Linked DNA regions of Rattus norvegicus. The protein of the gene in region 1 binds, or shares a complex with, the protein of each later gene. Links are inferred from orthologs where the notes say so. Each region holds a gene or a part of one and is shown on either strand. Other genes may lie near its edges. The genes, in order: Dffb and Dffa.

The links.
Region 2: the proteins of Dffb (region 1) and Dffa are in contact, whole or in part, in an NMR structure (PDB 1F2R), measured with the Mus musculus proteins. The link is inferred for Rattus norvegicus from reciprocal best matches to the Homo sapiens genes DFFB and DFFA. Residues at the interface, in NP_031885.3 of Mus musculus: Cys10, Lys12, Arg14, Ala19, Cys20, Lys21, Phe22, Gly23, Val24, Ala25, Ala26, Arg39; in NP_001020467.1 of Mus musculus: Asp66, Thr68, Ile69, Val70, Asp71, Asp72, Asp74, Tyr75, Trp94, Tyr96, Asp100.

Annotation. Positions count from the first base shown.
Region 1 is NC_086023.1:169,806,833-169,810,640, forward strand, and holds part of Dffb (DNA fragmentation factor subunit beta), read right to left. Parts: intron 3,312-3,808; coding exon 3,211-3,311; exon of another isoform or gene 1-3,210. UniProt on the Homo sapiens protein: Nuclease that induces DNA fragmentation and chromatin condensation during apoptosis. Degrades naked DNA and induces apoptotic morphology.
Region 2 is NC_086023.1:164,833,522-164,837,252, reverse strand, and holds the end of Dffa (DNA fragmentation factor subunit alpha), read right to left. Parts: intron 3,525-3,731; coding exon 3,335-3,524; intron 3,154-3,334; coding exon 3,002-3,153; coding exon of another isoform or gene 2,987-3,001; exon of another isoform or gene 2,057-2,986; coding exon 1,853-2,056; 3' UTR 524-1,852; downstream 1-523. UniProt on the Homo sapiens protein: Inhibitor of the caspase-activated DNase (DFF40).

The DNA.
Region 1 (3,808 bases):
GGACGGGAAAGCTGGGCCAGAGTCCCTCGAATGCTACTCAGCAGAGCAGAGTCTCATGCGTGAGCCCTTGTCAGCCTCTGCTGACCTCCATTTGTTCATGTACCCATTTTACACAGCTGCCCACAGAGCCCCAGGCCTGTGTCTCCCACAGGCACATAAGCCAAACATGTATGACCAGTGTGACACAGACATGGCAAGCAAGCACAATGTCATGTTACTTCAGAGCCACTGAAACTGGGGCTCCATAAGGAACAAATTTAGATCTACTCCGCAGAGGCACTGACAAGCCACAACAGAAGACTGGTCACCAAAGAGAAATTCAGGTCCAAACACAGTTGCAAGGCCTCCCCCACGTTTATCTCCTCAATGTTCTGGAGCCTGGAAGTCTGGCCCAGGCTCACAGTGGTCTGGTCTGGTCTGGTCTGGTCAGGGTCCACTTCCTGGCCTGTCCTCATATAGCAATGAGAACATCCCCATGCTCTCCCACTCACAAGAACATCTGCTCTCCCTGGATTACTCCACACCCTATGGTCTCACTTTACCTTAACTGTCTCCCAAAGGACCCATCTCCAGATGTGGTCTCACTGGGTGACAGTTGCAATGTGTGTCTGGGATAGGAGGGACCACATTTGGGTCCACAGCGGGAAGTTACCCTAAAACAGCAGCACTGAGCCAGAGCATGCAAGCAGACCCAGCATAAAGAGGGTGGGCGGCAAGAAGGTTCCAGAACACCCACGGGAATCCAAGAGACTGCAGGGGAGAATCAGAACTCTGCAGAATGGAGGACGAGTCACGGCAGGGCCGAAAGGAAAGGTCTGTCCCTGGTGTGTATTGCTGTCAGTTAAGGGGAATAAATCAAGCCATTCTCCACTGGCAGCAGCTCCATGGCAGCCACCAGGAAACAGGGATCGGTCTCCCTCACGGAGTACACAGGAGACCTAGATGCCTGTGATCCCAGACTCAGTGTGAGACAGCCCCTCTCCAGCACTCAGTGACAGCAGTGGCAAGAGGGAGGGACCCTCCTTACAGAAGTGCTAGGACCGCTCATTGGCAGCTCAGAGCAGGAGCAGGGAGATACAGGAGGCGGTGAGCAGAGGAGTGGGAGACGTAAGTAGGCAGTGACCATGATGATGTGACCACTGTGCAAGTTTGAGGTCAGGTGGGGCAACGTTGAGAAAAGAGGCCTGGAAGAGAGAGGTGACAGACAGGCCCAGGATGCACATTGAGACCAGGCACACAGGAGGTACAGCAAATGGCAAATGAGATTAATTGAAACCCACTTATTCGTGCAACAAAATATTGAACACATGCTGAACCAGCCACTATGTCTCGACACCGGGACAAGGGACCAGTACAGGATGATCTCCATTAGACAAGGCAAAAATGGCCGCTGCCACTAATGCGCTGACAAGAGATACCAGGAGCCCCTCCCAACCCCCGTGATGGTAACAGAAACCCAGAGTCCTGGCCTCTTACAGATACCAGAGCCCAGAAAGGATGAGCAGAGCAGCATGAAATGACAGACAGATAGACAGACAGATAGACAGGCCAAAGGCACATCAGAACGGGCAGCCGCCCTGATCCCGAAACACCAACCTCGGGAGCAGCTGGACAGAAGCAGCCTTGAGCATTCGTTAAAACACAAGAGGCAAATCTAGAGAGCAAAGAGAAAGCCCAAAGGGGCAGAAACTAGAAGTGAAAATAAAATCCAACACAGCTGCACCTAAGCGCAGGGCAGAGGCAGCTGCAGACAACGGGGGCGAGCAGATGCCCCTGCACCTGCAGGAGGAATCGCAGGGTCTGTGCACACTTTGGCCTGCAGCCGGCGTGCTGCAAACGGTACCTCAGACCCCAAGAGGGGGAGCCTGGTCTTCTCGGGCTCACCACAGCCGCCCTATCTGGTCGTGATAAGAGACATCAGAAATGCGCCCAAAATACAGCAACGACGTCTGTCACACCAACAGTCAGGAAAGAATTAGTGCCCAGGACAAAAGTAAACAGCAAGCGAGGAGAAGCAGCCTGAGAGCTGTGGTGGCGGAGAGCCACAGAGGCAGCTAAGTGGGTGCCCACCTCAGGCAGGAGGATGCAGGGGCACAGTGACACCGAGTGGTGGTGGGGGCCGGAACTGACTTACAATCACGAGAACAGCCAGAAAAGTCTGGAAGCACTCCGAAGGTGACCACAGTCATTAATTCCCCCAAAGAGACTGGAGGTCGGAGCCAGGGCAGTCCCTCATTTGGAGTGTGCACTGGCCCCAGGGTACCCCTGTGATGCTGGGTGGGGCCCGAGTGCATTCCTCACCAGCTCTGGGTGCAGCCAGTCCACAGATCACACTGTCGGGCATGGAACTGGGAAACTAATGCTTCATCTCAGAGCGTCTATCCCAGCCCTGGATATCGGCGAGTACTCAGAATGGCCTGAATGCCTGGCAGGCGAACAAATGTGAAGTCAGAGTCTGCGGGAAGTGAAGACGTCTGGGCTGTTCCCCTGAGTTGTGTGGATGTATACATGGTGCAGAGCCAGAGAGTGGCGGCACACACCCGGGTAAAGGTTACGGTACATGAACAGGGCGTTAATGAGGCACGTTGCAGGACAGTGTTTCCCTGGCAACAGGGACAGGGCACTGAGCACAGAGGGATCAAGGGGTGGGTCCTCAGCTACAATCACTTTTTGTAAGCTTTTAGTTATTCTGGTATCAAGAGTTGAGAAGTCGTTTGTGGGTACTTGGAACACTTTGCCTTCGTAAAGCAAGGTCAAGGGTAGTTACAGTTAAGAAAGTACCACAGCTACAGAAATGTGGTACTGCCCTACCCGGGTTCAACAGAAGAGACTGTAGCTTGCCCCGCTGTGAAACCATCCTGCTGGCCCTGCCTTCCCATACCACACCCTGGAGCTGGCTCCTCCAGTTCAAACACACAGCAACAGCCTCTTGGGGACCAAAACTTGGCCATCAAGAGCCAGGCCACCATATCCAACCACAGACGGGGACAGAGGGACAGAGGGACAGACGGAGGGCAGAGGGGCAGCTTAGCATCAGGCATGGACAGCTGGTAAGGCAGTGGCATCTCTCTAGAACCCTTCCCGTGAAGCATGTGGGCTTGAACCGCACAGGTATAATGCACCAGACCTGAGATGCTGAGCAGGCACTGGACCCCACAATGCTGGGCTGGTTCTGGTTAGAGAACTTGAGTCCTGGCGGCATACACTTACATATGGTCCAGGTTCCAGGTACTGAAGAGGATCCGGCTCTCTCTGTTGCCATAGGGGTTGATGGAGTGTTTGGAGAGACAGCTCTCCAAGTCAAAGGGGCCCTGCAGTGAGCAAGAACAGACAGGGGTTGGGAAGACAGCAGTGAGGACCCTTCCCGCTCTCTTCCCGGCCATCAAGCTTGCTAAGGAACTGGCCCCACAAGATGTTTAGTTCACCAACAGACATCTGAACAGGCGGTGTCAGCACCTGTTATCCCCAGCACAGGGAGGCAAAGGCAGGAGGATTTACATTCAGGCCAGGGAGGTGGCTCAGGAGGAAAAAGTGCCTTCCACATAAGCGTGGGAACCAGGTGTGATCCCCGCAGCCTGTGTGAAGGCCAGGTGTGGTTCATCCATGGCGTGTGCACACGAACATTACACACATATACACAAAAGCTTAAGTCTAGCCTTAACTACACAGTAACACTCCATCTTCAAAAACAAAAATTGTTTGGTTTTGGTGGAGACTGAAATTTCTCTCTTTGGGGCTGGAGAGACAGTTCAGTGATGAAGAGCACTGACTGTTCTTCTGGGGGACCCAGGTCTGACTCCCACCGCCA
Region 2 (3,731 bases), about 5.0 Mb from region 1:
AGAATGAATGTAATTCCCAGAATTATTTTAGCTTGAAACCTTAATTCTTCTTCTTTTAATTTTTAATTTTAATTTTTCTTCTTCTTTTAAGCCAGGGTGTTCCACTTTGTAACCTTGGCTGACCTGTAGTTCACTATGTAGGTAAGTGTGGCCTCAGACTCACAGAGATCCTCCTGCCTCCCAAGTTCCAGGATTACTTTAAGTTATTTTTAGTTTTAGTGTAGCCTGGATTTCTAGGAACACACATTTAAGATGTAACCCAAGGGCAGGTGATATCCTGTTCAGAACTTCATCGTTTGGGTGACCTCTTTGCTGGGACAGTGCTGCCCTGCTGTCTGACAACTGTCTGTCAGCTTGCCTGTGTCAAATCCGGGGTGATCTGATGCTGACAGAAGCACCTGGCAGCTTTGACGCCTGGTCACATACAGTGCAACATACACACCATTTTACTGTAAAGGGTCCTCTTTGTGTCTGTGTACTGTGACTCGGAAGGGATTAGTGTTTCTGAACAAACAATGGCGGGTGATGGATGATCAGCAATGGCTTTTATTCAGGGACTGAGAGGCACCACAAAGATGTGGGAAGAGCTTTGATGCCAACATTTGGAACTGGTGCTGTCAGGCACTACAAGATCTGAAAGTTGCACCAGGCCCCCCCTGTAGGCAAGGACACAATTACTTTTATTTGCTTCGTGCACCCCACCTTTACCCCAAGACTTAATGCTATATTTCTTTGTCAACGTGAGGCTGGGGTGTGGTTCATTAGGGGGCACGAGCTCAGTGTCTATGAATAAAATCTTAGTTCAATTCCCAGTACCCAGAAAACACACGCACACACACACACACACACACACACACACACACACACACACACACACGAAAAAAAAAGACGAGAGCTAGAGACCCTCTTCTTCTTCCCAGCACGCATGAAAGTCAGATGACCCGTAACTAGGTGTCCGTTCCCTGAAGGCAGACAGCACTGTCGATTGCAGAAGGTGTAGAACTCTGAGCAGAAACAGCAGAGAAAAGCTGGAAGTGACCTGATCTGCAGAGAGAAACCTGAGTCGCAGAGCATGGGACTCAATGATCCTTTCTACCCCCTGCTGGCAAAACATATTAGAAAATGGACTGGAGTCTCACAGCGGTAACAGCTTCACAACACTGAGTCAGATATTAGAAATGGGGGCTTAGACTCCATGTCCCTGGGGTCTGCAGACTCAGTATGTGCCTTTAAGCGGACAGCAACTGCATTCATTAACTTGAGAAGGAAGTTCATGGCCACCACTGCTGCTGTTGGGTGCCTTTTTTCTACCACTGTGTCTAACGCTCTATTGTTCAAGTTGTAGAGTAAGGACATCGAGTCCAAAGTATGACAGGTTTTCATTGCCCTAGACGGGTACTTTCACTTAACCTAAGGCCAGCACACGATAAGTGCATTCTGGGAGCTGGAGATGGCTCAGGGGCTAAGAGCACCGGCCCCACTTCCAGAGGACCCAGAGTCGATTCCCAGCACCCACACGGCTGCTGAGAGCTGTCTGTTACTCCAGCTCCAAGGGACCCGACACTCTCTTCTGGCCTTCATGGGCATGAGGGATACAGATATACGTGCAGGCAACACACCCACACAGGTAAGAAAACAGAACGAAAACCCAGGACATTGAAAGGAGGTAGAGGGGTATGCACAGACAGGGAACAGCTTTTCTGGAGCGAGGAGAGCTCACCGCAGGGCGGGAGGTGGAGGGAGTGCGGGTGGGAACGAGGTCACGAGGTCACAAGGTCACAGACAGGTGTTTACGGACCTCAGAACCGAGGTTCTCCTCTGCAAAGCTTGTCCGGTTTGGCTATGAGAAGTCTCACACTTTGGCCCGTTTGGGACTCTGCGGGTCCCCAGGCAGTGGCTTCCTCTTTGCAGAAAGATTCCTGAGTGAGTGCAAGCTCTGCACTTGCTGCAGGCGCAGGGCGAGCTCCGTGGTACAGGCCTGCTGGACTGTCTCTGCCTTCTTTATGTCCCAGCTCAGAGCGACAGCCAGGGCTTTGGGGTCCTCCTTGGAGACCGACTGCAGCAAGAAGAAGAACCACTGAGACGGCAGCTCTGCGCCCCTCTCTGGGCTGCTTTCTCCTCTTTTAGAGACGGGGCCGGACTGCGGCCCGGGCCGGCCTGGGATGCACTAGGATGTGCCTGCCTGCCTGCCTTCCCACTCCTCTCTTTCCTTTGGTTTTTTTTTCAATACTGGGTTTCTCTGTGTAGCCCTGGCTGTCCTGGAACTCATTCTGTGGACCAGGCTGGCCTCAAACTCAGAGATCAGCCTGCCCTGCCTCCTGAGTGCTGGGACTAAAGCTGCGTGCACCACCACCTGGCTATGATGTGCCTTTCATGACACTCACATCGATTTAAAGTCCCCCAAGCACAACAGGAACTGAATTAAGCTCAAGTTAATCTAATTCCCTTCCCTTCTGTCTAGGGCCGGGAGGTACTTGGTACTCTGTACAGGGTGTGCCTTGTGACTGTTGGCCCAGTGCTGATCTTCAGCCACAGCCTTAAGTACAGACTCATGGGTCTTTGACTCTTTTACCTTGAAGTCACCTCAGAAGCTTCGGCCCGCAGTTCCTCCCAATTTGAACAAAGGACTAATGTTTGATGACCCGAGGATACGCATCCCTTTTCTTTTAAAGGTCATTTGGAGCTGATCGTTGGTGGCACAGACCTTTAATCCCAGCACTCGGGAGGCAGAGGCGGGCAGATCTCAAGGCCAGCCTGGTCTACAGAGCAAGTTCCAGGACAGCTAGGGCTACACGGAGAGACCCTGCCTCTTTCCCCCTGGAAAAGGCCAGTTGGACTTTACATTAAGTGAGATGTTTGCAAATGCTTTGGCTGTGTTTAAAGGCAAACTGGCAGCTGTGAGTCAGCGAGGGGAAGGGAATCCACATACGTGCGTCTGCACCTCCAAACTCTACTTCCAAGGAAGTCATTCTGCAGTTCTGGGTTCCTAGTTCTTGCCCACCTCTAAATCCTGACTAGACAGACTCAGCTCTGGAGCCGGCTTCTCCTTCAGGGCTGCGAGGATCTGGCTTCTCAGCATCACTTCTGAAGCCACCTCTCCGCCGACGCCGGTGTCAACTGCATCCAGCTCTTCCCCAAGGGCAGCTTTGGACTCTGCAATGCAGACGAGAGAGTAAGCGGCGACTATGAGAAAGCAGTCCCCAGCCAAGCAGGCAAGCTCAGTGGGTGAGAGAAGCATCCTGCCCAGGGACATCACCCTCAGGGAACTGGGCTGCTCTGCAGACAAGGCCCCGCCCTCAAGGCTGCTCCTGAGGAGCTGCAGTGGGAGTCTTACCGTTCTGGTTGGACAAGATGCTGCCCTCTTTCTCCAAGGCCTGGAGATAAAGTTCCAGGAGCTGCTTGGACTGGCGTGCTTCCTCTCTCTGGTCAAGCACCTGCTGGAGCGTGCTCTGCAGCCCCTGGACAGTGGCACAACTCTGGCAGAGTTCCTGCGCCAGCTCTGCACAGGGGATGTCGATGAGTGCCTGGCATGGGATAAAGGCTCTGAGAAAACGAAAACACAGGGCAGCGCAGAAGCTCTCCAGTGCATCCATTTCAGAACTGGGCCATCTTTTCCTCAAGTTCCTTTCAGAGAAGAAGGTTTGACATCCCCGAAATTCTAGTGTGAAGACTGGGGAAATGAATCCTCCACTTAGAAATTCAGCTACGTGGGTGGAGGGCAAGAGGGCTGC